4 linked regions of the Struthio camelus genome follow. The protein of the gene in region 4 purifies or fractionates together with the protein of the main gene of each other region. This does not show direct contact. Links are inferred from orthologs where the notes say so. Each region holds a gene or a part of one and is shown on either strand. Other genes may lie near its edges. The genes, in order: COP1, NFE2L2, CREB5 and JUN.

The links.
Region 1: the proteins of JUN (region 4) and COP1 purify together in Homo sapiens (affinity purification with western blotting; 9 studies listed by BioGRID and IntAct, counting the BioPlex papers as one, with this or other methods). This does not show direct contact. The link is inferred for Struthio camelus from reciprocal best matches to the Homo sapiens genes JUN and COP1.
Region 2: the proteins of JUN (region 4) and NFE2L2 purify together in Homo sapiens (affinity purification with western blotting; 4 studies listed by BioGRID and IntAct, with this or other methods). This does not show direct contact. The link is inferred for Struthio camelus from reciprocal best matches to the Homo sapiens genes JUN and NFE2L2.
Region 3: the proteins of JUN (region 4) and CREB5 purify together in Homo sapiens (affinity purification with mass spectrometry; 5 studies listed by BioGRID and IntAct, counting the BioPlex papers as one, with this or other methods). This does not show direct contact. The link is inferred for Struthio camelus from reciprocal best matches to the Homo sapiens genes JUN and CREB5.

What each region holds. Positions count from the first base shown.
Region 1 is NC_090949.1:5,435,651-5,443,018, reverse strand, and holds the start of COP1 (E3 ubiquitin-protein ligase COP1), read left to right. Parts: upstream 1-4,355; coding exon 4,356-4,720; intron 4,721-7,368. UniProt on the Homo sapiens protein: E3 ubiquitin-protein ligase that mediates ubiquitination and subsequent proteasomal degradation of target proteins.
Region 2 is NC_090947.1:20,389,147-20,396,413, reverse strand, and holds the start of NFE2L2 (nuclear factor erythroid 2-related factor 2), read right to left. Parts: upstream 3,011-7,267; 5' UTR 1,945-3,010; coding exon 1,855-1,944; intron 1-1,854.
Region 3 is NC_090943.1:39,813,268-39,820,802, reverse strand, and holds the start of CREB5 (cyclic AMP-responsive element-binding protein 5), read right to left. Parts: upstream 3,015-7,535; 5' UTR 2,888-3,014; intron 2,243-2,887; 5' UTR 2,171-2,242; coding exon of another isoform or gene 2,161-2,170; coding exon 2,158-2,160; intron 1-2,157. UniProt on the Homo sapiens protein: Binds to the cAMP response element and activates transcription.
Region 4 is NC_090949.1:34,117,733-34,124,121, forward strand, and holds JUN (transcription factor Jun), read right to left. Parts: upstream 2,482-6,389; 5' UTR 1,973-2,481; coding exon 1,028-1,972; 3' UTR 520-1,027; downstream 1-519. UniProt on the Homo sapiens protein: Transcription factor that recognizes and binds to the AP-1 consensus motif 5'-TGA[GC]TCA-3'.

The sequences.
Region 1 (7,368 bases), about 29 Mb from region 4:
GACCTGAAGGATGTAGCTTGTGGTGAAGGGACCAGACCGCTCCCAGATACCAAGAATTTTTTTTAAGGATCAGAACTTTTTTGATACAATGGTAAATGTTAATATTTTATTTTCCTGCCTCTCCATTTCTTAAAATGGCCAAACCGCTTTTGTTCAGAGTCTCTGCAATTACTTGGAATTAGGCCAAGGGCTAATGCATAAAGTTCCATCTGGAAGTGGTAAAGTGTTGTTATAAAGAACTGAAAAAAATCCTTTGCTAGTAACCGTGCATAACTGTAACTATAATAAATATCACTAAGCACCCTAAGTTGAGGGGAAGCCCTCCACGCTGGGTGCCAGGGCCTGTCTGATCATGCCCTCCAGATCCCCACATCTCTGGGTCGGGCTTCTTGAGTTCAAGTTTGGAAACTCATGTCCAGGTTTCTCCCAGTAAATAGGGGAAGGAGGGTACCTAACAGGTAGAAACTGCATCTTCTGGATAGCTCTGCTGCAGTTTTGCTCGAGGAGAAGTTGCTGACAGCCTAATTTTCAGATTTATGGAGCATTAAGAGTTCTCATCGACTCTGTAACCAGGTGAGGAATCCGTCCATGCTTCATTTTCTTTGGCTAGAAAATGGGAGAAATGGCATTCCTGTCACTGGCTAGCTGGGAGGTTAAAGCTCTCTAAAGCCCTCTGGAGCAGCAATTCCCAAGCCAGGGGTGGCAGGTCATAGCAGCGTTTGCAGCACTGCTGAGTGGACTAACAGACCCAGTGGGAATTAGGTGGCAGCAACGGCCTCAGAAATGGAAGCGTACGGAAGCGTATGGAAGAGTAATTTCCATAATGAGTCACTGGCAATCAGGAGCCGAGCCTGGAGGGGACTGTCACTTCCCACAAACATCTGGCACACACACCCTTTGACGTGGAAAAAGTCGCCGTCCCCCTGGTGACCACATGCAGCATGTTCTCAATTATTTCTCTGGCTGGGCTAGCAGCAGGCATGAGCACTGCAACTGCCTGTTGTTGTAGGTGAATGGTAAATGGAGGTAAATGGAGATGTTGTCGTAAAAGTCACAGACTCAGGGTTTATAACAAGTAGGATTTATGTACCCAGAAGGGCAGAACCTATATTGTTCTTAAGGTTCCTTCAACTATAGACACTATCTGTCTATTCCTTCCTTTAGAGCTGGTGCATCCCTCCTCGCACAGGATAAGAACTAATACACCACTGTTCAGGCCATGGTCAGCAATCAGCTTTGGAGGCTGGAAAATAGAACCATGTAAGAGAAAAGTCTTCTAAAATGTAGAGGCTCTGCACAGATTTCCAAAACAGGAAAGTGCAGGAGAACGTCTCTGTCATATTGGAATTTACTTCAGCTAGGTCTGCAGAGTGAGTAATTACATCTGACCAGAGGTGGGAAATGTCTCTTTCACAAAAGCGATCACTAGACCTACGCTGGCTTGGTACAATACAATCAACTGGAGTTTCAGAGGTAGAGGAAAATCTTTATTATGGTGTTCCTGCAGACCGACACCTGCAGCCAGTCCCCCAAAGCCCCAAACAGTATCAGCCTACTGTGTGCCGGCACCCAAGAGCTATTATTGAATTCCTTGCATTACTCCCAGAGTATCGCTGACAGTATGCACGTCTATTAGAAATATCAGTTTCATTGTATAAAACAAACTCGCCACTAAAGGCTAGGGCTGGAGACAGTTTATCCCACAGTAACTGTCTATTTTGTTTTTTCTCTAAGTTTCAGGGCAGTGACTAACAGTTCTTGTTTACTGCCTGGGCAAGAGGTGCTTGCCTTGCTGTGATCCGCATGCCTTCAAAGGCACACAGGCCCAATGACTAGTTCTTGAGGAGGACATACGAGGGTAATATCCAGATTAAGTGAGGAAACACAAGCAATCCATTGAAGGCAGGTTTGAATCTGAACAGGAATCTAGGAAGAGTGTGCAATATAAGGGTGCGGATATCTCTGCACCGGGCCTCTCGTCACCGCACTAAACCCAGCACCATAGTTTTGCTTAAGTATGGGATCTCAACCATGAGGCAGCGTAAGCGTCCAGCATGCTGCTAACTGGAGGAAACAGCGAAAAACCTCTTACAGCTAATCTATAATATTTTCCTTTTGTATCTCTGCCTTTGAGCCTAATAACAGCGTTGTCAATATTTAGACGGTAGTAAATTAATTCTTAGTGCTCATGTTGTGCTAGCGGGGACTGGAAGATAACCGGCGCTCCACAGCGCTTGCTGTGGTGAACTTTAAAACCAGGAGACTTGCCATGCCCTTTATTCCAGCACAATGCACAGGTGTCGCCGAGAGGTAGCATATAATCTTCCCTTAGGATGCATAAATTGGTCTGGGAACTGGTACTGCAAGGTAACCCCAACAAAGAAACGTTTCGGATGCAGGAGCCAGAGGCTGTTCAGTATATATCAGGGCAGAGAAGAGAAGGTCTTAGCTTCAGGGGCCTCCGAAAGTCCACAGTGAACTCCTAAAAGCTCGAGTATTGGGGAACTGATCTTTTGGTGCTGTGTGCTGGGTTTCACACTCTCTACCAGCCGTGGGGGTGGAGATGTGGCTGTTGAGCCTAACTACACATGGGCAAAAGTGGGCATGATTTGGCCCCTCCATTTCTTTCATATTTATGTTGGATTTCCACTTCTGAATGTTTGATCTTTAAAGGCTTTTCTCTGCGTCATTTTTTTCTCCCTGGAGCTCAGAAAGTAACATGAAGTACCAAAGAATAGCTAGACTTTTCAAAGACCAGCCAATATTTCACTAAACATGAAGCATGTAGACGTGTTATTGCCTATACTACTACTACTGCTACTTTGTTCTTCCACTGGAAAATCTGACAGTCCTTTGCAGACACTCATCCACAAAGCTTTTCCTCCCTCTGGAAGACAAGGACACGGTGCTTTTCTTTCTCTTAGCAAAAGGAAATATGAGGCACACAGACATCAACAGTTGGGCTCAAAGAAAGGTATTTAGGCACTTCTCTTTAACTCCCACTGAAACCAGTGGGAACTGATGTGTTTTAATGACTTTATGGAGTTAGTCCTGTGACTTGCCAAGGTCAGGAGGATATTTATAGAAGGTAGCGGAACAGAATCTTTTGCTTTGAAAAAACACACCAAGAACTACAAACAGGAAACTTTCAATTGCAGCAGCACAGGTTTCAATTACAGAAGTGACTATAATGGCACGTTATCTTGTAGAGGTGAGGCTACTAATCTGAACGATAAGGAGAAGCTTCCTTAGAATTTCCTGGCTTGCACTGATTTATTCTGTACTAACATTCTGCAGACAGACTGTTTTGGTTTTGTTAGACTGTTTCTGGGTGTGTGGGGTTTTTTTTTGTTTGTGTGTTTGTTTTGCAACATTAGGGGTAAGTACACAGAAGCAAATACCTTAAACGTATTTAAACAAGCTTGGAAGGGCAGGTCAGTGACAAGCCCTCCAGGACTGTCCGTGTGCATCAACCCCTCCACATTCAATCCAAGTGCTGTGTTTTGCTGCGCCCTTTTTGGGAAAGCCAGGCGTTCCCGCTGCTTGCCAGAGACTTCTCCGGACCAGCAATGCCTACCTGCAGCCACCTTTTTCTCTCAGACCAGTTTTACCAGCTCTCCTGCTGGTTTTACGCCTGACTGCAGGTGCGCTCGGCCACCTGCGCTCCCAGGACTGCCGCAGCGCGGATCTCTCCGGGCGCTTCCCAGGACCTGGCCTTAGGATTACCCGTCCTCAGGGAAAACGCCCTAGACTTTCAGCAGCCACCTCGCACATCTCTGGGCAGGTGAAAAGCTGACAGCAGACAACAGGCTTGATGTAAAGCAGGCGGGATGCTTCTGGGGGAGAGAAATGAAAGGAGAAATCCGGTCTCTGCCCGCAGCTCTGCCTCCTCGCCCGCCGTCGGGCCAAGCCGAGAGGCGGCAGCGGCCTGTCACCGAGGCCCCTGCCTCAGGCCGGGCCCCGCCGAGGGCCCGGGGCTGGCGCCGACGCGGCCCTCAACCCCTGAAGGCAGCGGGGGGCGGGTAAAGGGAATTTGTTTCCTTTTATAATTCGTGAGCTCCCGTGTGGAGACGGTGCCGTCCGGCGGCGCCGAGCAGGCCCTCAGCACCGCCGCCGCCGCCGCCTCAGCGCCGGAGCAGGCCCCGCCCGGCGGCGGCGCCGCGCGCATGCGCGAGGCAGTGTTCGCCTGTCAATAAAGATTCAACAAGAGGCTAGCGGAGAGGGAGCACGCGCGGGCGTGGGGGCGGCGGCGGTTCCCTCCCCCCCCCCCCCCCCCCTTCTTTGAACGAACTTTATTGTTCCCGCGGCGCCGCGCGGGGATGCGCTGAGGGGGCCCCGCTCCGCCCGGCCTCGGCATGTCGGGCAGCCGCCCGCCGCCGCCGCCGCACCCCGCCGCCGCCGCGCCGCCCGCCGCCGCCGCCTCCCCGGCCGCCGCCTCCTCCTCCTCGGCCATGGCGCCGGGCTCGTCCTCCTCCTCGGCGGCGGCGGCGGGCGGCGCGGCGGCGCGGCCCGTGCTGGTGGCGGCCGCCGTGTCGGGCTCGGGCGCGGGGCTGGCGCGGCTGGCGGCGGCGGCGCGGCCCGGCGGCGGCGGCGCCTCCTCGGCGGGCGGCGGCGGCGGTGGTGGCGGCGCGGGCGGCGGCAGCAGGAAGAGGCCGCTCCTCGCCCCGCTCTGCAACGGGCTCCTCAACTCCTACGAGGACAAGAGCAACGACTTCGTGTGGTGAGCGCGGGGGAGGGGAGCGGGGCGGTGTATCGCGACATAGCGGCGACACGGCGCCCCCTTTCCCGCGGGCGTCGCGGCCTGCTGCGCGCGGCCGGGCCGCCCCGGGGCCGCCGCCGAGAGCGCTGGCCGGGTCTGGGGGGGCCCCGCGGGGGGGCCCTGCCCGGCTCGCCGGGGTGGAAGGTGTGTTGGGGTCTGTAACTGTCCTGCAGGGATTTCTGGCTCTCCCCCCTCCTCCCCCGCCTTGTGACTGTGTTTGGTTGCTTTTTTGGCTCTTTGTATCAGTGTTGTGATGCGTGTGTGTCTTTGTTTTTTTTTTTGTTTTTTTAAAAAACAAAAACAAACAAAAATTCAGGTTAGTCCCAGAAGGTTCCTGTCTCGTTCGGCGGGTTAAGCCTCAGCGCAGCGGAACTTGCGCTCGTTGGAAAGGGCCTGCGACGCTAAGCGGTTTTTCATAGCCTGTTGACATCGCAAGCAAATGTTTCTTTTTTCCTTTTTTTTTTTTTTTTTCTCCCAGGCAGTGTAGCCTTGAAAAGGACTAGAGCAGCTCCAGCCTCTTGCACGTGCGATGGCCTCTCTGGAGGGAGGCTAGGTCTTCTTACTGCCCCTTTATGACCTTATGAAAAGAAAGAGTCCTCAGAGGACTTCTGTGCTTATGCAGATGAGGATCTGAAAATAAGTCCCCTGGTCACTGATATTGGAGGCAGTTAATAGTGCTCACAAAATTGGCATGAGTTTTTCCTCTGTTGCTGGGAAAGGACAGCTAACTTGAAGTAATAATAGTATTTGTATCAGGTATCGATCTGTCATCTAAAACCAGATGAGTAGAAACTTTCTGCGATGATGGGATAAAGATTTTCCTTGAAGCCATTCAGATGCTGTTTTTCTAATGTTTGGCCAAAACTGTATGTTGTAATTGGTAATAACTTTTCTGCAAAAGTGGTAGGCCTCGCTATATTTGGTTTGAGAGCTGTTGGTAATATGCAGCTTTAAAAAGATGCTATTGCTTATGGGCTTCAAACCTCCTGACATAAGGAGTAAGTTTAATTTTATATATGACTAGATGTATATTAAAAACGCAAGAACAGAAAATGAGGGTAGGTGGTAGCATCTGAGAGAGATAAACACTGATGAAGAGATATTAGAAACAAACTTGTTTTATTGAAAAGTCACATATGTGAAAGAAATGATTAAAAAGAAAAGTGGATAAAAGTAGGTAACAGCTTCCAAGACCGTCTTGTTTGCTCATTCTAACTTTTGGATGCAGATTAGGTATTCGGCATCTCCACAGGAGAGGCACTCTAGCAAAACCTGGCAAACTTGATCTTGCAAACCTTGTAAACCCTATAGGAGACTAGATGGGAAATATAATCCCTGTTACTAGAAGGAGAACCTGAAGCTGCTGAAAAGCTAGTCACCGAAAGAAGAGCAACAAGCAATAATCAAGAATTCCTCCTTACCACTGTAAGTAGTGGTTTGCCCAGTAGCAGAATTAGGATTAGAGTGTAGCCTTAGTCGGCTGGCTTCCTGCTCTGCCTAAATGCTAGGCCATGATAAGTGGATTTAGGACACCTAGTTTGGGAGATGGTTGTATTGTTGTTTCTTGCATGTTTTCTGGTCGTGGGAGATAAGTGTCCCTATCTGTTTGCCTCCACTACAGTTATGCTCTGGCAGTAGTGGTGTGCAATCATTTCCTTTCCTCTTCTAGTCGGTTTTCACTTAATGTTTTCTTGCTCATAGAAATAAGGGAGTTTGAACCAGGGGGAAATTAAGTCTAGCGCAATAAGTTCTTTTCTTTTTTTTTTTTTTTGATGACAGTTGAAATGTTTTAAGTCAGTTCAAAAAGCTCAGTTTCTTAGTTCTTTTTTTCCCCACAGGTAGGTTCTGTGCAAACTTCAAAAATAACGCATATAATTAGCTCTATTCCTCTCGGTGAAGAGTGTTGCTGGCTGAACAAAGCGTGAGAAGAAAAAGTTAACAGAATAGTGATCTGGGCAAAACTTTTTTTTTTCTTTCCCCTCTCTTCTTTTTTCCTGTCTCCTCCTTACTGGTGTTCACAAGAGAACCGTGCTGGGCATATTTGCGTGCAGATCAGCAGCTTCAAGGGCAAATAGTGATTATAGCTCCCTTGTCTGGTCCTTCATTGGCATGCACTTCATTGGGCAGTGTAGCTTCTTCTTCCTTATGTTAATGTTAGCTTCAAATTACAGCATTACTTTTAACAAAAGTTATTTTTGAGGTAGCATTATATTTATGCAGTATAGAAATAAAACTCAGCTGGGTAGCTTTGGAATTTTGAGCAAGGTCCAAGAAGACAGGTGTGTGTTTGTTTAAATACTTGATTTAAATAAGCTTTGGATATTTCAGTCTGAGAGGCAAAATTTTCCCGTCTGCCATCCTCTCTATAAGGATACTTTCTGGACGCTGCCTGCTGCAGGGAGCACTCGATAATCTTTCTGAACACAGGCTATGAATTACTCTTTAGTGTTGCAACTGTAAACACTGTGATAGGTTCTGCCTGCATCAGACTGAAATTGGGAAAGAATAAAGAAGTTCGTGTGAGTTGTGTACACGAAAGCGCATGTGGAAATACTGCAAGTAGTGTTAATGTGCACAACCTGTCTGCCTGTTTCTTGAAACTGCTCTCT
Region 2 (7,267 bases), on a different chromosome or scaffold from region 4:
AGCAGGAGTGACATTCTCCTCTCTGGCTCATTAATCTCTAGAGCCAGAAATATATACATATTTCCTTTTTCCACCACATTCGGTCTGCCTTTAGCTGACTGGCCATTTCTGAAACAGCAGCTAGATCAGGGCATTCTTGCTCAGTATCTCTCTGCAGAAGATCGTTTGGCATTCTATTTCATACGCTCCAAAAGTAGCCAGGTTGTCCTAAATTGTTTAATCAATGTGTATTTTAGCAGGTAGCTTTAAAATAACACAATTTTAATATAGCGGATGTGCCTTCCAGGGGCTGAATGCTATGGAGATTGAGTCTCCCTCAACATCTTAAAAAAAAACAAAACAAAACAAAAAACCACGTTGTTTGAAAAATCTAATTTTACTTTTCCACAGTTTACTTGGCTAGTATAAAAATGCGTGGTTCCAATCCCAGTTCTGGTTGTGAACCTTATCTAGTCTCAACATTCGTGATGAGATAGATTAGTGAAGTAATACTACCACTTGATTAGAACTGAACACATCAACGTATTGAGTCCACTCCTCTTTGAGTTAAATACATCTTTTAGGTTTAGATAAAAACTTCTGCTCACATTCTGAATCCCTCTTTCAGCTTAACAGAGATATTTATTTGCTACTTCTTTACTGTATCTTTCATCAGTAGGATTACAAAACGATTAAGTCGCACTTATGTGCGCAAAGTTAATACACAAGTTGCATAATGAAATTGGGAGGCTCTGGCAAAAAGATGAGATTGTTTTAGAAAAGAGCGCATTAGCCTGCATATTTGTTTGTACATGCTTGATGCATCAACAAAAATCTGCCCTGCTGCCCCAGCAAATAAACTGAGTGATTCTACTGTGGCTTACTTTCTAGCTGCTGTACAACCACCACGTACTGGACACATCGTGTAACTCCATTTTAAAAGGTATTCAAATAGCAGCCATCTCAGACAGAAGTCTGCTTCATTTCAGGAAAAGTTGGTCTTAATAGCTTTATTTGTTTTTTCTCCCAAGTTAAACTCAAAACTGCACCATAACAAAACTGGCATTTATTGAATTTGGTTATTTTTACATGAAGGGCCAGGATTTTTTACTGTAAACAAATAATACAAAAAATACGTACTTGAATTTAACCAGCATCTAAAAATACCACTGACCTTTTAACCAAAGGAACACATAAGCCTTTGCATCCCAGTCCATTTTATATATTGAACTTATGGTATTTGGAAAACAATTACCTGTTAAATGATTATCTTCAAGCTATCCTGCCGTACCCTGCCAGGCATGTACTGTGTGTGGACATTGCCACAGGCTACCCATTAGTTTATCTAGGAGAGGATTTGTTTATAATAATGGTTCAGTCATCTGGGAAACATGATCCAGTCAAACAATAGCATGCTCTTACAGCCAGCGAAACACATCAGGAAGTAAAAAAGATGAACACAGAAACAGAGAATGGAATCTAATAAAATCGCAAATAATCTGTTTATTAGGTTATATTAACCTCAGGTTATAACTTCATGGCCACTGTTTTAATGTCACTAGGATTACCCACTTTTTGGAAAGGCATATTTCAAGCCAAACATGAAAACATAGTGCATTTGTTCTTAGATCAAAATGTTCTCAAAGATTATTTAGAATCTTAGCTGAACTGCACATTGTCACTGCACCGGGATCTCTTACTACAAAGCCCCTATTTCTAGCTGCCATTTTGCTGCTGGCTGGGCAGGTCGCGGGGACAGGCACCAGATGGGTTATTACAGCTAAACTACTGCCTGGGTGCGGAAATAGCGTGTTCTAGTATTACAAGAAGCATTTCTCACCAAGTTTCACTTCACTGATCTCACAAGCAACTTACTTTTATTGCTGTTGGTCGTGGGCAAGCAACTGGAATATCAGTGTGGGTTAGAAGAGCGTTGAGGTTTACTAACTGTATGCCAGCACACATCTATCAGCCCTCATTCAGTAACATACATATTTACTTCATAAGGCTGAATCAAGGACATTCTTCCATACTTCCAAACTGAGCTGACAAAGAAAAGAGCAAGCATGCTTTTAAATGAAGAGAGCTCACCACACAAACACCTCACGAGCCTAGAAGTATTATCTTAAGAATAAAAGCTTAAGAATAAAAAGATTAATAATTGAAAGGAGTTTAAAGGAAAAAGAGAGCAGAGTTTGTTTTATATTAAAAATACTCCACTAAGAGAACATTAATGAGGTATGCACACTTTTAGGCACTCCAACTGGGCAACAGAAAAAGCAGACAGAGAAAACTGACATAAGTCATAAACCCCAATACCCTTTTTATTTCTGAGACAAACTGGACTGTCATCCTGGTCCTCAAAACAGCCTGCAATTCACGGACATGGACACAAGTGAGAAATGTTGCCGTTCTATTGGGATTAGTAACTTTGAAGTAAATTCACTGCTTTAGGAGTTATGTTATTTTTAAATGCAGCACTGTAATGTTTTCTACAAACGCAAATACAATTTGGACAACAGAATTTGCCAATGGCACTGATATCTGATACATCCACTCCACATAGTCTTCTCAGGCAAAAGCTCTACATTTTCCTCCTCTTTTTCTTCTGCCTCTTTACTTTTACAGTACAGTCCTAGAAAATGAGCCAATCAGTAACGCACATAGTTACTGCACATAGCACACAGTAACACATACAGTAACTACATAGTAACTTTGCAGGGATTACAGTTTGCTCCAGTGGTCAGTTGTGACATGCTCTGTGTACCCCAGCCCAGATCCAGCAGGGTATTTAGAGCCTACCCCCCGCTGCAATCTGTGGGGCACAGGTGCTTTAATTCCTTTGTGGATCAGTCTTGCAGCTAATGCATACTCTTCACATACATTACTTTTATACATATGAATGATGGGAATTCAGTGCCAGTGCACAGTTTTGAATACAGAAATAAGTAGTGTTCAATGTAATACTATATCAGAGAAATAAGTGGCAACTATGTATTTCTGATTGCCCTCAAGCATATGATGAAGGGAAAAGCTCAGCACAGCTCATTTTCCTTTTTTTTTTTTTTTTAAATAAAGTGTTCAACTTCAAATACACTTAGACAGGTTGTTCCATTTCTGTGGAGGAATAAAAAACAGGAAAAAAGCCGAAAATACATTGCTATTCGATTGCTCACATTTGACGCTACAGGACCTTAAGAGATTTGGGAAACAGGGTTCCCTGTGTGGCAAATTTTTGCTATGGTGACAGTTCATCTTTCAAAACAAGTAATTCATGATTAAATGGTTTATTTATGCACAGCCTTCACTAGTGACATGCTTCAATTTACTATGCACAGCTTTCATTAGTGACATGCTTCAGTTTCAGATAAGCATCATTAAATAACTATATTGTTCAACTGTGCACTATCGAAGTAATCAAAAATGTTCTTCCTAAATTTACAAGAAACAGCATAGAAATCCTTACTAACTTTGTACAAAATGAGTTTGCTCAGCCTCCCAGCTTCCTTCAGCCATACCAAAATACATGATGAGAATTGTTTTTCTCTATAATGAGGAAAGGTCAGATTTTCTTTGCTCATTTTCTTAAACACTGAAGTTCACATATCTCTCAGTAAAGAACAATCCTGTTAAAAATTATCAACCCTTCCTCACTAGATTTTTAGAAAGCTCTTATACTTAAAGGCCCTGAATGGTTAAAACCATTAAACCAGAAAGGTCAAGAAAGGCACAGCAGATGTCCAAGCACCAATTTATCATTTTTGTCTACGATGACAGCATTTGCATAAAGAAAAGGTAAACCCAGTTAGGAACTGAGTAACGCTATTAGAAAGCAAAGCTTTGTTTCTGTGTTGTGCAACCCAACCCTTACTTTTTGAAGTCCTGCTCATTATTCAATTTATAAATCGAAAGCAAAAGGGGCTAACTCATATTCCAAGACATGAACCAAAGTAAACTGTTTCATATTTCTTACCAAATTATATAAATGCAATAATGCTTGAAACCCTCCAGAGAACAACAAACCCCCCTAAACTCAACCATCAATAACTCACTCTTTCCACACAAATCAACAGCCTCTACTTCCTACCACCTTACTTGTGGCCTCCTTGTCTGCCTCTCGCGTAGATAGGAGTCTCCCTGCCTCCTGGATCCTCCTGGAGTCAGCTATGTGGCTTTTCCACTACCATAAAAGAAGTCAGTTATGACAGGCCTGCCTCTTTCAGCCTACTGATTAAACGGACAGATGTACCTAGGAAATCAAGGTAGAAGCCTATTCCCGATGTGTGTCCCCTCACACACTCTACCAGCAGCTATGATAACCAAAACAAGACTGTTTTCTATGAATAATAAACATGTCAATATACCTCTTCCATCCATAAACAGTAAAAATTTTCCGTGCATGTCAAGATGCTTAACAAACCTTCAATATTTGGGGGTAGAGGAGGAGAGGAAGAAGAGAAGCCTATCCAGTTTGTGAGTATATTACAGAAAATCAAGAAACTTTAAATCCAAAGCAACTCAGTGCAGTCTGTTAAACATTTATTTTTAGTTAATGACTTGGTCTGTTATCTGAAAAATGAACTGATCTCTTGGACGTTTATAAAGCAATGTATTTACACAATACATGTTAACTTAGTTAAGTTCAAACCTTAGACACGTGCTGGTTGAGTGCTACATACAAACAGTTTAAGAGGGCAATTCAGAGCATTTCAGATATTTTCTAGAGCTGCAAATTTTATCTCGCATGACCACCAGCTGCAGTTTGATAAGGCATTCCACAGTCGCTTCTGAAAGGAGAATGTTGGACTGTGATAAAAAAAAAAATACAGGTTGCCAAGAGAATTAGGGAAAGAGCTAAACTTCCTTTTTCCTTCAGACTTTTAATTATTCTGTATTCAGTGAAACAGCACAGCTAATCAACTTCTATCCTGGCATAAAAGCAATCAATATTTGAAAATAGGAATTGTTTTTATCTTCTCAGCTTAGCTGGCTTCTTACTCCAGTCTACATTGTTTCTCCTGCACCCATATCATCACAATAAATTTTGGTGAAGAACGTTTGATTAATTGCCCTTTGAATTCTTTAATGCTTCTTGTTATGTGAGCCAGATACCTTTTCTCTGTTCCTCTTCTCGTCCATCACGAAATTCCCAGTTCAGGAAGGAAAGAGGTGGTGTTGGTAAGCCAAAGTAGACTCTTTCTAATGGTAGAATAAGCCTAGCAACAATGTTCAAAGTTTTTAATTCATTCAGTTTGTCCCTTCTTTTTTGCCTCCTTTGCAGAAAAAAACACCTTCTTCCTTATATCTAGGGATTCAAGGAAGTAGCTTACCCCTTTTCCTCTAAGTTTCTGTATGACGACTTTTACAGCTGGGTTTTGAGGAGAGCTTTACTAGCTGCCGTTTGAGAAAGACATAGGTATTTTTTTAAAAGTTACCCTAAGTGGCATAACAAAGTGAAAAGAAAATCCTTTACAAAGATCCCATTTCAAGAGCAGAAGGGGTTGAGAAGAAACAGACTTACCTTGCTGCCTCTGAAGAAAGTGTCTAATCTCTAAAGGCAGGGTGAAACATCCCAGCACACTGCAGGCGTATCTATCAGCAGCTGAAGGACAGCAATTTGCTGATGTATGAAATAGAAAGTAAGTGTAACTGTCCTGAATATCTGCTGCCAAATTAAAGTTTGTGTGCTGAATCCCCTAATTCGATAAAATAAATTTATTTGGCAGACTGTTTCTAATATCAGCATTTACTGCTGATTTTTCTGGTAGAAGGCAATATTAATTTAATTGCTTTCCAGACAGAATTAGAATCAATTTGTTAAGCAAAAGGAATAAAATTAATCTGTAGATGACCGCTTAAAATCTACAGTAAATACAGAATTCAAAGAATTTCAGGTTTGGATCCTGGCTGAACAGTTTTCTGTCTCTGACAACTGGAAAATCAGACTGAAGCAAGCTGTCAGTAAAAAAATCACAAAACTCCAAAATTTCTCTATAGCACAGTAATTCACATAATGAGACACAGATATCTTGTTAGGGTAAATCACTATTCAGTCAAATATTAAGTGTTCATTCTGTCATTACTATTTGCATTTTATAAGACCTTGTTCATCATATATGCCACATATACACACATGATTTATTAAATATACTCATCCTCAGGTTTATTCCACTTTGCATTTAAAATAATTTTATGTCTCTGATCTTAGTAACACAGACATTTTCAGGATAATCTAAAATACTTCAGTGATTTGTTAGATCACCATTATAGTTTCATTATTTAAGTGAGTGCCATTCTTCATTTTGCCAACAGAAGAAACTGAGACATGATGAGATATGTCCACACTGGTTATCAGATGAGCAAGGATTCCCGAGAGTGGTTTGCGCAGACTAGATTCCTGAGGTGGCAGATGATAAAGGACCACAGCTCCAGCTGGAGAATGTTCAGCAGAACTACAGAATTCCACCGAGTCACAACAATTTATACTAGCTGAAAAACTGACACAACAGTTCTATAAGATTCCAGTTCATATATCCAAACTGAATTAAAAATCACAATATTAAAAGCCACTGTACAGGAATTCTCTGTGCTAGAGCCTACAAAAGTATGACACACCTCAACATGATACGTATTTCTACAGCCAAGAATTCAGCTTAAACAATTTGGAAAACCAGCTGTCAGAAGTTAGTATGACTTAGTTTCAGATGTCAGCTCTGTTTTATATATTATACTATTTTAATAGTACTAGTTTTGCTATTAAAATACTTCTGGTTTCCATCCTTAATTTCTTAATCCTATTCATTTCAAAAGCTGGGTTTTTATTTTTACTTATTTTACAAATATCAGTGGAATAATCTTCCAAAAACTCCTCAGCTGACATACAGTCCTGGTTAATGCCTCTCTACACTAGAAAAAGTAATAAGTGCAACTATAACTCAATGTTATGAAACATTTTTAAGAAATATATCCACACACCTCATTTCAAATAGTTCACAGAAGATCACCCGAGGCTCTACAATACACTTGCTCCAAGGACATCTCATGACTACAATATCTTCATTTGTATAAGTGCCCCAGTCACTACTTCTGCAACATCGGTGAAGACAGCCGTTAGTGTAATAAGCTATGGTGGAACACTCTCACTGACAAACCTTGGATGACCTCTGCAACTAAACTTTGTGTTTAGTTCCAGGGATAAAGCTTCTGAAAAATTGTTACCTGTCTAAAGCTGACCTGCGTCAACCTTCAGAGGCCTTTACATATATTCTCTCTTTTGTCACCTTTTTGC
Region 3 (7,535 bases), on a different chromosome or scaffold from region 4:
TATGTTCCCCAGGTTAAATTCGCAGAGGTAGAGTTCAATAAACTGAAGCTATACTATGCAAGAATTTTTTTTTGGGGGGGGGGGGGAGCATTCTGATTGTTGTAAATGTGTAAAGTTTTAGAAATCTTGCAATTTTAAACTTCTGGAAGAGTGCCATCCAATATTCAAGAGTAGCAGACAGAGCTCATTGCCTTTTTTATATACGATATTACAAAACTTCTTAATTTTAAACATTAGTGTGATTCCTCCTAACAGTCTCCTACTAAAAAAATGTAACAATAGGAGACTTGAGCAGTTTCTTTTTCATGCCATAACTTCATTATTTCTGTTTCCTGTTTCACTCAAGTGTTTCAAATACACATTGAAAGTTTTGAAACTTTGATGATCTCCATATACGCAAACAAACATAAATCCCATTTAGGCTGAAAGAACCTAAGTCTATAGACAGCAGTAGATACTAGTCCTTCACAATTCACGTGTGATAAAGAATAATGAGAAATCCCTGATTAGTTATCACAAAAATAGACTCCTTACCATTATCTGCAGAGTACAGTCAGGTCCAAGTTGTTTTGTTCAACCACCACACCAACTGTTCTTTCTTTCAAGTGACTTAAAAAAAAAAAACAACAAACCTTTCCCAATGATAGCTGGGAGAAAAACTACTGAGAGCTTTTAGGCTTTAGTAATTAAGGCCATCAGAACTGTATTTTAGTAAATCAGAATAAAACAGTTCAACCAAGGGCTAGGTCCCTGGCTATACTATTTGCCGCTCTCTAGTTCCCTCCTTTCTCTCACTGTCTCTTTGAGAAAATGAGACTAATTTTTCCAGTAGCCTTTAACTCGCTAGATTAACTGACATGGAAAATGTGACTAAAAACTTGTAGAACTGTCTAGCCTCCAACCCAGCACAGAACCAACTTTGTGTTAAGTGCTGAAGGACACCTAGCAAGCTACTACTTGCTAAGTTCATAACCCAGGACTATATAGTCACAAAGAACGGGACTGCGCCATCTAGTTAGCTGCCAGCAGGCTTTGCTCTGCCTGGCAGAAGTGGGTACCTTAGGATGCAGGGCTTGAGCGCTTATGAACGTTCAGTTTCTTCAAGAAGCAATTGTTTTTTTAGGTAAAATATCACTACTGAGATAATCCACATCTAGTGGATATGGGAAAATTCAGGCTATAATAGCACGGCGAACTTCTACATCCAACTTTGATTTACAAGATAAAAGCAACTTTTAAATTAAAGAGCCTTTCTGCTAATAGAGCTTATTATTCCAGAGACAGGAGTGATTTTCCTAGAAAGTTGTCCCTGTGTGCCTGCCTATTATCTTTGCTTTCCCCCTTCCACTAATGAGCATTTATCTAAAGAGCCTGTTAATCCTCTGATGTGTGCTTCTGGTCAGAGGTAACAGTTTGAATAAAACCACTAATCACTTATCACTAATCACTGATCATTAATCACACTTTTCCCCAGTGCTTTGCGACCTGTACAGCTCCCTTAGGATTAAGGAGTCACAAACAAGTATTTTAGACTTTTTTTTTTTTTAAAGAATTTTCAGCTTTTTGCTACCGGCCACCTCGTTCACCACACGAAAGTTACAAAACGCCAAGCGGGGACCTTCAACACCGTACCCTTTTCTACTGAAAATCAACCATTCTGTTACAACAGCGTGCCTCGTTCAGCAAAATCCCCGCGTTATTACGTTACGTTTTTGCATTCGGCTCTCACCCTCCAACCCTTAATATTCTTTCAGTCTGCTTTCTGGCTTACTTCTGCATGACAGCTCCTTACAAGAAACTTTTCCTCCACCGCTTGACGCACCGCTCGTTCTCCCGAGGGTCGGGCAGGGACAGCCTGCTGCCAGCCGGCGGGCGAGCGTCTCTTGGAGGACTGCAGGGTCTCCAGGAAAGCCCAAAGCGAGATGCTTCTCAGAAATTACCGTCCCTCCGTCCAAGCTCTACTTTCGGCTAGCTGTTTCTTACGGATAAAACCTGGGAAATCTTCTAGCCTGGCTAAGGGGCTCCTAATACCCTTCCGGCTTTCACGCGGCACATCGGCACGTTCATTTGGCTCGACTCGTACCCCCAGCTCTGCACGGCTTCTCTCCTCCCGACGGTACCGCTCGCGTTACGCCCTGGGGATGAAGGATCACTCACCATGCTTGGACATAAATAATAGAGCAGGCAGTTTAGCAAGTATTCCCCTTACGCTCCAGCAGCGCTTAGCGTCCCGAGAACTTCGCTGAGGAGAGAGAGACGCCTGTGAGGAGCAGGGCGGCGGGGCCGCCGAGCCGGCCGGGCAGCGCGCTCGGCCGCCGCCGCCCCCCGCCGCCGCCGGCCCCGCCGCCGCTCGCCGGCCCGCAGCATGACGTCACGGCCCGGACCGGCCCGGTTCCCAGCGATGTGTCAGAGCGGGCAGGCGGCCGCGCACCGCGCCGCGCCGCGCCGCGCCGCCGGCGACCCCCGCCCGCCCCGCCGCTGCCGGGGTTGCGGCACGGGGCGCCGCGCCGAAACTTGGCCAGAAGTTGGCGGCGAGCGGGGCCGGGGGAAGCGGCGGCGGCGCGGGCGCAGAGCGGGGCTGTCACGGCGGAGAGACGCGGAGCGGCCGCCGGAGCCGCCGCTGCCCGCCGGCCCCCCGCACGCAGCCCACCCCGGTGCCGCGCACGCCCCCGCGCCGTCGCCCCGTCCTGCAGCCCCGCGAAGCGGCGGCGAGTCCCGCCTGCGGAGCGGATGCTGCCGGCGGCAGCGGCAGCGGCGGCAGCAGCCCCCCGCAGCCTCCCGGTGGCCGGCGGCGCGCCGCCTGCAGGGATCCCTGCCCCGCGCCGTGCGAGCGCGGGGCTGCGCGCACCGCCGCGCGCCGGGCGGCCCCGTATTTTTAGGAACTTACCGCACAAGTGCCGAAGGGACGGGACCAGCAGCCCGGCTGAAGGAACCACGTTGGACTGAGGGAAGGTTACAATACGTTCTATTTAGAGAAGCATTACATCACCCTCCGTGACGTCACGTGGGATTCCTGAACTTCTAAATCATTGCGGTCCGTGCCGGGGCGGGTGGGGGGGCGAGCCGCGCCGAGCGCGCGGGGCGGGGAGGGGGCGGGGCTTCGGCGACCCCGCCCCCGGGGCGAGGGGCGGGGCGGGGGCCGTGACAGGGGGTGAGTCAGCCTGGAAACAATGTCCCGCCCCGTGGCGGCGGCGGGGAGAGCCGGCGGGGGCGGGGCCGGCGGGGGAGGGGCGGGGCCGGCGGGGGGCGGGGGCGGGGCCAGCGGGCAGCCCGGGCCGGCGGGGTCCCGCCACCGCGCGGCCGGGGGCGGCACCGGCAGGGGCGGGGCGGGACGGGGCGGAGCCGCTCTGCGCCGGTGGCCCCGCGGCGGCGGGACGGGCTGCGCGGGGGACCTGGGACCTGGGCTGGGGGTCGGCGACCGGGGGCTGGGAGCAAGGAGTGGGGGAGGATCTGGTACTGCGGATCTGGGACCAGGGGCTGGGGATCTGGGACTGGAGTTCTGGGACTGGGCACTGAGGGTCGGGGGCTCTGGGGACTGGGGGTCCTGGGGCTGGAGGTCTGCTGCTGGGGCGCTGGGACTGGGCACTGGAGATCCAGGACGAAGGATCTGGGACCGAGGAGCGGGGCTCTGGGACTAGGCAGTGGGGATCTGGGGACTGGAGATCTGGGAGCGGTGGCTGGAGATGTGGGGCTGGGGCTCTGGGACTGGGCACTGAGGATCTGACGCTCTAGGGACCTAGGACTGGGGATCTGGTACTGGGCCCTGAGGAGCTGGGGACTGGGCATCTGCTACTGGGGCTCTGGGCGCTGGGACTCTGCTACTGGAGCGCTGGAGCCGGGCGCTGGGGATCAGGGACGAGAGATCTGGGACCGAGGAGCGGGATCTGCTACTGGGACTCTGGCTGGGGAGCAGCGTTCGGGCGGTGGGGACCAGCCCACCGGCCATGCGGGCGCTGCCGAGGTGGCTGCTCTTCGCCTGGCGCCCGCCCGTGCCAGCAAGGCCTGCGCTAAGCGGAGACTTAACTCGTTAACTAGTTTTTGACCTAGGAAACGGCTACCAAGTCGCAGCGGGAGGACAACCTGCGCCAGCAGAGCTGCAGCCCTGCGAGGGTGCGCACCCACACCGGGCCGGGCTGACAGGCACGCGGTGCCCAGCCGGCAGGGCCCAGGCGCCACGGCGTACCCCGGGGCACCGCCGCTGCGCGGGACAGAGGCTCACCTGGACTAACGACGCATTTCGCTGCTTTGCAAACGCTTAATGTTAGGCGTGCAACCGCCAGCACGCATATCTTCCTAATCATGTGGGGGCGATGACCAAAGACAAGTTTATTATTCCACCCTAGAAATAGTTCACTGCCTTCCTCGCCTGCGTTTTATTGTAAAGTACTTCATAACTCTCAGCCTGATACTCCTCTCCGGTGCCTCTGGTCTGCAGGTTCCTCTGGCAGCGAGCTGTACGCGCTGCAGTTATCTGGGAGATACTCTTATCAACAACACACGTGGTGATTAGCTGTGTTTAACTGCTGATTCACGCCAGCAAGCATGAGTTAATTTTGATGCAGTGTTTTAGCACCCAAGCTGGGGATGAGTCAAGAGGAAACCTCTGCGTGTCTGCGCAGGGTCTCAGGATCTGCACATGTTTTGCTCAGTTTGTTTCTTTCTGATACTCAATTAGCAGAGGAGAGAGTAATTAATATAAGATTGCCAAGATCCAGAACTGCTTTACAAATGGCAATAATACAGCACATTACTCCTAATAATACCGTTCCTTTGCAGGGTTATTTCTATGAGGCTTTTTAACAGTTGTTCTCAGCTTTTAACAATTCACTGGCACTTTATGCAGGATTTAAGCAGATAGAAACGGATCCTATCACTGATGATAGGTTTTGAACTCATTTAACTACTTATGGTAAAGGCTCAGTGTTTCTGTGGCTGCAAGCCTTCATTTTGTCAAGCGTTATCCTTGGAAACCTCATGCCAAGGTTTGCAAATGCCTTACCTCTAAACATTCTGAAATTATAAACTACAAAGATGACTAAATTAATAGTTGCAGCTCCTTGTGCAACAGGGGAAGTGTTTTAACGTACAGAAAGCCCTGCAGTGTTATTTAAGGCCATGACAAAAAGATTAAAAGTGCGGGAAGCAGCTCTGTGTCTCTCATTCAGATTTCATCACACAATTTATGTACTTGCACTTTTTTACAGACAGGCAGCCGCGACGGTGTGGGAAGCTATGGCTGTTCCCGCAGCAGGCGCAGTTCTTTCGCCAGGATTCTCCGTGACACCAGAGTGAAATTGGTAATGAATGAAAATTCAAGGATAGTAGGGTCCAGATATCTGTGCAGTAAGAATCACGTACGGCAAAATAGAGGTAAAAGCAAACCAAATGCTAAAGGAAGTGTTAGCCATTGTTTGATGTTATCTGTAATATAACTCGTGTTATTTATAACTGCTGATGCTTTTTTATTAGTGATATTCTAGACTCTAGGTGACTTCAACACAGATTATAGTGAGTAAATAATAGGACCCTCTTGGAGTGTGCACTGTGCTTTAATTTACTGATTTTGTATTGAAAGCTCCTGACCTGAGTATTCTCCATGTCTCTCACCTTGTCCAGAGCGTTGTGCAAAAAGACATTTCAAAAATAAGAGCACCACGTAGGTCAGATTAATAGCTGTATGTGCCACATACCTATTTGGACAGATTTCTACCACTTAAAGGAATGGGTAACTTGCAGCAGTAGTTTGTGTTTGCCAGCCCCGGGAAGGGCGATGACCAGTGCTTTGATAGGTGGCTACATCATAGGCTTTTGCTGACAGCAGAGCAGAGAGATTCTTGATTCCTGCAATGAGTCTCAAGCCCTGAGGTAAGACTCTTGACTTCTGAAATGAGCTGTAGGTCCTGGAGGGGAACGAGGGCCGAAGAAAGCTCCAGTTCCTCTTGTAAATCTGCTGCAATATTTGTCACGTATCCTTGCTTTTTCCTATGCCTAACTTCTTCGCTTGTCGCCATCAGCTGCTGTTGCTCTCATCCCTCTTGCAGCTCTCTCCTTGCCTGTTTCTGCCTGTTACCAACCTCCTCTCTATCCTAAGCTGTCTACTTTCTCACTGCCCGCTGATCTCTGACCAGGACTGTGAAAGAGCTTGGTTTTGCTTTGTTTTACGTTCGCTTTCATGCCTGGTGGCTGAGCAGCTAGTCGTAGAGGAGAGTTAAGACTCTATCGGTCCCATCAGCCTTAGGACAGACCATGCTGAGCGGAGAAAAAACATTCAGAAAACAGTAATTGCTGAGATCTTCCTTGCTGCAAACGGAGGGGTGATCATATGACAAGAGGAACTTCCCTGCCTGCAAAGTTGCTGCTTTCCAGCTGAGCTGATGCACGTTTGTGTGTTGTCAACGTGAAGAGCAACACTTTAACATGAACTCCTATACAGGTGGTTTAGATTAGCATATTTTATTCGGCAGATCAGGAACATATGCAGATCAGGAATGTACGACTCAGCTGACAAGCTGTAACTTGAGAACATACTCTGTATTGGGGACAAATTTGAGCAAATGTTAGAAGTTAATCAAAGGCATATCCTGTGACAACAAGCTGAGCATTCTGCAGTTCCTGCTCCAAAAGCACTATATGTTCCCAGGAGGCAACCTGTGGGATTGGGAGTAATGTTAAGCAAAGAAACTTATTTTTTCTAGAATACTGTTTCTGGAATGATTAAATTTGGGAAGAAGCTTTCCAAAATACTGCAGCCTGAGGCAGACACCCAGTATGGAAAACTTCATCCTGAATGTTTCAGAACTGGGTAATGTTTCAAAGTGATTGAAGAAACTTGTAATGAAAAGTATTCAGCAGTCAACTACATAAGGCATGACCTGTTTTATCTGTAATGCTGTTTCATAATTAATTTGAAGTTATAAAGTCATATGCTTCTTTTCTATTTTTATACGCAGGCTCTTACAAAGCTGCTTCCTTCTGATGGCAAAATCACTACTGAAATACTTATCTGTATTATATGTTCTAATAAATGTTTTCCAGACAGGTCTTTGTCATTTTGATTCTTTAATTATAAAACCTAAAATCCAGAATGAAGGATGTGGTCTTTACAGTGGTAGCTTAATTGGTATGAAAACTACTCAGACTTTTGCAGTGAAATGAATTAGAATGACATTTTCTTTGAATGATAGTAAATGACAGTAGTGCTGTTTCAGCAAACACCTAAAATCTTTGTCATGTCATTAAAATCACTAGTAAGTAAAGATATTAAAATAATTATAGGAGTTTTGTATGTCAAATATCGGTTTCAGTAAGACTCTATTGCTGTCACATAAAATTAATATTTACTGCTGGCGCAGCTGAATATTTTACATACCTGTTCTTCCTATAACATCATTAACTACATGTTTAACTAAGCTGCTGCCAGCATTGAGCATTACTCTCAGTTTTGGCACTTGCAATTATCTCATTACAAGTACTTTTTAGCAATATCTTATAGTCTAATCGAACAGTAATTTATTCACCTCCTTACATGCTACTAA
Region 4 (6,389 bases):
CACAGTTCAGACTATTACAGCATGGGGCAATATCATGCAATGGCATTTGACCCTTCTCCAACCTGCTTAACTTTAAATCAGGTCTCTAAACTGGGCCACTAGAATATGGCAAACAGTTTAATCAAGTTAAGACTCTGAACTGCAACATAATGAAGATTCAAAAGGTTATATTCCTTTAAGGATCAGGATGTTTTTTCTCCCTCTACTCCTCACACATTCTCCAGGGCATGCCTGTAGTTGTATATTACAAGTTTAACGTAATCCCTACCTTTTGAGGTCAGAATAAAGGGTATTTTCCTGACTCAGGTACTGGCAAAAAAAGTGGGAGGGGGAAATGCATTTTAATTATTTTATTTTCTTAAATATAATAGAACCTTCTAGATTTTTTTCCAGAAACAGAAACATTAAAAAATTATACTTTATTACAAACAGTAAACTCAGAGTGCTAAAAAAAGGAAGAAAAAAAAGCCTCTTATTTACAAACAATACTGGGCAGTGCCCAAATAAACAACATAAAAATAACTTACAAAGTCATGAAGTAGTTTATTGACATTAATCAACTTTCATAAAATAAAATAAAAAAAGATATGTACATACACAATTTACTTGAAGGCAGGCAGAATGGTTCTTTTTTTGTTGTTGTTGATCAGCCTCCCACAAACCTCCCTCCCACTGTGTTTTTTTTTTTTTCTCTTAAGGAATACTACAGAAAGCAATCTACAGTTTCTATTGCAGTTTAACCTTTAATACTGAATGATCATCGAATGTTAGGTCCATGCAGGTCTTGGTCAATGTTAAACGAAGATCTGACGTCTCATCTGAGCAGGAACAGCACTTCTTGGAGCGGTGCTGACTGCTTCACTACTAACTCAAGCTGAAGGCTTGCCAGTCTTTCCACACATGCGCTTTGCGGAGCACAGGCAGGACTCAACCTTTCAGCTTTTACCATTAGCTTTATGTATCTGCCACTTTTGGTTTTCTGTTTAGTTCTACCACGGTATCATAGTTCTTATTCAAGTCAGTCTCTTCAAAAAGTTTGCAACTGTTGTGTTAGCATTAGTTGGCACCCGCTGTTGACGTGGTTCATGACCTTCTGCTTTAGCTGTGCAACCTGTTCTCTGAGCATGTTGGCAGTGGATGCCAGCTCTGAGTTCTGGGCTTTCAAAGTTTTCACTTTTTCTTCCAACCTGGCAATCCTTTCCAACTTCCTTTTCCGGCATTTGGATGCTGCAATTCTGTTTCTCATACGTTTTCTCTCAGCTTTGATTCTCTCCTGTGACTCCATGTCAATAGGGGACAGGGGAGGTGTTTCCCCTGGCATTTCAGGTACAGTCTGAGGTTCTTCTTTCAAAGCCTGAAGCCTGGGATGCTGCACTGGCATCTGGGGGTTTATGTGATGTTGAGGTGCATAGCCCATGCTGTTTGTATTGTAGTTAGGTGCAGAGTTGAGTGCGTTGGGGTTGAAGTTGCTGAGATTGGCATACACTGGAGGCTCACTGTGCAAATTAGTATTGAAACTATTATTGCCAGCCATAGAAGACACAGGTGCCATGCCACTGTTAACAGGTTGAGCAGCAGAGGTAACACTGGGCATGGTGTTCTGGTTGTGCAGTTCGGCTAGAGCTCTCACAAAGCCTTCCGCAAACCCCTCTTGCTCGTCAGTAACGTTTTTGGGGCAGAGGAACTGCGTTGGGGTCGGAGTGGTGGTGATTAACCCGTTGCTGGACTGGATGATGAGCCTTTCCAGTTCAGGCGACGCCAGTTTGAGGAGCCCGACATCGGGGGAGGTGAGGATATCTGCGTTCTTGTTCCTCAGGTGAGGCTTGAGGTTGCTGGAAGGATCGGATAGGTTCAGAGTCATGTTCTGCTTCAGCACTTTGGGATTATTATATCCATACCCGCCGCTTTCCGGCGGCACGAAAGTAGCGTTTAGGGCATCCTCGTAGAAAGTAGGTTCCATCTTTGCAGTCATAGAACACAGTCCGCGGAGTTGTACCAAAGTTGCGATCAGCGGAGAGAAGCTGCTCGGCCGGCGCCGGCGCTCGCGTCCCGCTCAGAGGAAGTTGGCGTTAGCGCAGCTGCCTCGGGCTCCGCGGCCCGGCCACGCGCGGCTCGGGGCAGCGGGCGCAGCCCGGCTCGCCGCCGCTTCTCGCCGGGGCGCGGGCGGGCTGGTGCCCCCTCCCGCCGCCGCTGCCGCCGCGCAGGGAGCCCGCCTGGCCCCGCGGGGCTGGGGAGGGACGGAACAGTGCCGCGGGGCGCCTCGCTCGCCGCCGCCGCCGGGACGGGACGGGACGCGCCGCGCCGCCGCCACAAGTTGCCACAAGTACTTCCCCGGCCGCGGAAGCCGCCGTCCCCGGCGCAGGAGCTCCCTCGCCTTTCGCCGCTCGCTCCCCTCGGCGGAGCCGCTGCCGGCCGTGCTCTGTGCTGTGCCGTGCCGTACCCGGCTCCGCGCTGGCGCCGCGCTGCCGCCCGCCCCGCGCGCTCTGAGCCCTGTCCCGGCGTGGAGCCTTCACTTATCAGCGACTGGGAACCCGCTAAAAATAGCCCATGATGTCACCCCGCGGGCTCCCCATTGGCTGCCGCCGCATCTCCCGGGGGAGGCGGGCCGCTGGCCCGGCCTGTTGCATATCAACCGGTCTCCATAGCCACCCCGCCCCTAGAAGCTTCTCAGCGCCGGCGCGGGGCCTTGTGGGATGAGGTAATGCTGGCGGCGGCTCGGGGCATTGTGGGCTGACGTATTGTTTTGAATATCTGGTTACCCGCTCCCAGAGCTCGCGCCGGGTTGGACGGCGGCGGGCGGGGCGGGGGCGCCTCCTTAACGGTCAGGTACCAACCGCGGGCCGGAGGGGGGTGGCGGCGGGCAGGTACCGACTTACCCGCCGCGCCGGAGCCGCCGCTGTTAAACCGCCGTTTGTTCCCCCCCTCCCCCCCCGCTTTTTAGACTTGTGTTTTGTTTCGGCGGCGGGGTGAGGGCGGGCCGCCGCTCTGCCCTGCGCCGGCGGGGCCCCTGGCCGTGGCCGCGCCCTCCCCCGCCGGGTGGTACGGCCCTTAAGGTGGCGCTCCCGGTGCTCCGCGGCGGCGGGGGGGAGAACCCTCACGTGATTTCCCCTGCTGCCCGCCGTCCCCTCGCCCGGGCGGCTTCCAGGCAGGGCTGGGGGCGGCGCCCGGGCCGAGGCGGCTGCGCGCGCGGGGCCGCGGAGGGCACAAACCGCCGCGGGGCGGCCCCCGCCCACGCGCCTGCGGCGCTCCCCGCCGCCCACGCGGCCCAGCGCCTCGGCCCGCCCTGCCGGCGCGGAGGGGCGCCCCGGGGCCGCGCCGTCGCCTCCTCCGCGGCCTCGCCTCCTCCGCGGCCTCGCCTCCGGGCCGGGCCCCGCGAGCCGCCGCCGCCGCCGGGGGGAGGGCGGCCGCCGAGGGACTCCGGGAGCGGCTCGGCCGCCCGCGTCACGGGGCGGGGGGCCCCTGCGGCCCGGGAACGGCCCCTTGGCGGTCGGAGGGGTGTCCGCCGGGCCGGGCCGGCCCCCCGGCCTGCCCCCGTGCCCTGGCCCTGCCCGCCACTAGCCCTACGACGCGGTTACGCGCGTTTTGTCTAATAGCTCGTGATGGCCGCGGGGGAGAGGTGGGGATGCAAGTAAGGGCGCGATTGCCATTATCTTAGTCGGTGGCGTCAATTCCTGGGCTCAGGACTTGCCGGAAAGATAGAGGGGGCAAAACAAAACCAAACGAAAAAGACAAGGAAAAAACCTAGTTCCAGATGGGCTTCTCTGAACTCATCCTCCGAGGGGAGGGGACAACGACAGCCTAATTTTAGAGTGTCCTAATATTACTGTGGAAGTACAGGTTGGTTGGGGGGGGGGGAGTTGAAGGGCCCTAAGCAAGGAGCGTCAAGTCTGTGCTGACATGCTCTTTCTAGAGCAACAGCTGGCTAATACCTAGTTTATCGTAGCTAGTCTTATGAGAGACTTGCATGTATTAGTTTAGTGTATCTCTCTAATAAAAGGGTGTGCCTTACTGCCTGAATTCATTTCCTGACCTTCCCCCTCCTCACCCTGCCGCACACCCTCTTCTCTTCGGGTGGTGTGAATTTGTAAAAGCTGACATGCAGCCACCTCTGGGATAAAGTGCAGCTGCTATTTAAGGATGGACAGTGACAATACAGGGTAGGACAGGGACTGAAGAGGTGTACAGTATCATGTGAGTGGTGCAGCAGTTCCTTACACTTGTAAAAGAAGTTTTCTGTTGCAGGGTGGTCTGCAGAATTGAATCACTTTTTATAGTATGTAAAGCCAACAAACTTATGTCTAGGTTTGAAAATACACTTTCAAATTCTTCTGTCCTATTTTTTTTTTCCCCTAGACGTAATGACATAATTACCAGTTACAGTATAGGAAACAATAATGAAACAAACAGAAGCAAAAGCAGCTGTGAAATAAAAGTGAACATATAACTCCACTGTTCTTAAGTTATTGCTGTTTATTTTTCTTTGCTGTTTTCCCCCTAGTGTTCCCACCTGATTTCAGTCAGTATATACATTTGACCACATGGTCAGCACTGTTGTTACTTTGTAAGCTGATTGGCTTTATGCAAATACCAGTTGCAGTTCTTAGTACGTTTGTGTTAACAATCCATAGTATAAATTACAAAGTTTGCCCTTGAATTAGTGGCCTTCTGTATGCTGTTGGTATACATGCTATCTTCACGTAGGCAACATGTCTGCGTGGCAGGTTGCGCAGAACAACTCGACTACCACTGTAGTTTCAGCTGCATACTGTTTTGCAAAACAGCATGAATTACTGCATATGCATAAGAAAATCTCTTAAATTCATTAATGCAGCTCTTTAGCTCCTTTTTAATCTTTATGTATAGGATAAATGGAGGCCAGTCGCTGACTCTTCTGACCCAGTAGCCAAGGGGCATCAAATCAAAGGTAGTAGGCAGGTAGTAGGTTCAGAACAAATCAGCAAAATTTTTCCACAGAATGCGTCGTTAAGCTGTGGAGCTCCTTGGCATGCTAAAGGTTTTCGTTGCTTTAAAAGTGATTAGATGAATTTGCAGAAGAAAAATCCCTTAAGGGCTCTTGAATGCAATACGTCTCTGGTTCTGGAAACCCCAAAGCTGCAAATGACTTGTGTCTGTGAGAGCATCCTGAGGCAAAACTGCTGTGTGCTTTCCCTGGTTTTATATGCTTCTTTAGGTATCCGTTGCTGGCCACTGTGAAGAGATAGGGTATCTAGTTGGACCTGATATGGCTGTCCTTACGTTCTTGCTGCTTTAAAACTCCCCCCCGAGATATACTGTAAATGATCTCTCTGTGTTGTGTCAGTGTACAATTTGGATGTTTATAAAGGGCTTGTCTGTGCAAGGAAGAAATTCTGGAGAAAGGTAAGACAGGAATTTTAAGTAGTTTGTTGTGTGGCAGTTTTTTATTATGGAATAAGAATAATTTTTAAATTAAGCTGAAAAGTTTTTTTTTTTTTTTTTTCCCCCTGGTTTCTGTTACATAGGAAACCTGTGCAAATCATTTGCTTTGGTCAGTTTTTGGCATAGGCAAATAATCCTAATTAAGTTCATTCCAGTGAATTGTTGACATATTTAATTTGTCAGAGTTCTGTCTATTCAGTTTGTGTTTTTGTTTTTTTCTGTAAGTCTATTTTGTCCTAGAAAGCCAAGTCCAGACTACAAATCTGGAGTGTGGTCACTGTAGCTTTAACTGCTCTGTTTAATAAATTTGTGTGTAATCTGAAAAACTACTCCCTTATGGTTGGTCCAGTTCAGCCCCCCCCCAGTATCAATGCAAGGTTTTCATTAGCTTCAGTGAGTGTTGGATTGGGATGGAGATATTCACTTAAGTCATTTAATTTCTTTTTCTTTTTTTCCCCCACCCGTTTTAGTTTCCGACTGCCTTCCTTTTACAAAGGTGGAGTTTCAGGACTAGACGTTCCAGTTTGCTAGGGACATGTTGCTGCTGAGGCCTGTAGCTATGCGGGACGCTCATCAGTCCACTCATTATGTTAATTGCTACTCACTTAGGGGTTGTTTGGTCCAGGCTGGCAATAGGCACTCAAGTTGGTCATAAAGGTTGTGCGTAGCAGGAGGCTCTGGAATTGAAGACAGATTTTCATTGCTGCTTGTTCTGAGGGGATTTTCCACCTCTTTGAGTCTAATGTGGGAACGATTGGTGACCAGGTGCTTGGCTGAAGACAGAAGTCTCATCTTAGATTTCGGCTAAGTGCCAACTTTACCATTTGAGATTCTCCCAGTGCCACAGATCACAAAACAGAAGTAGGCCCCGTGAGTATGGAGGCAGTGATCCTTCGTGGCCATCAGCCAAGGAGCTGGGAATTTTGGTGACTAGGCTCCTAATTTATTAAACAGCTATTACTTTAGGGCTT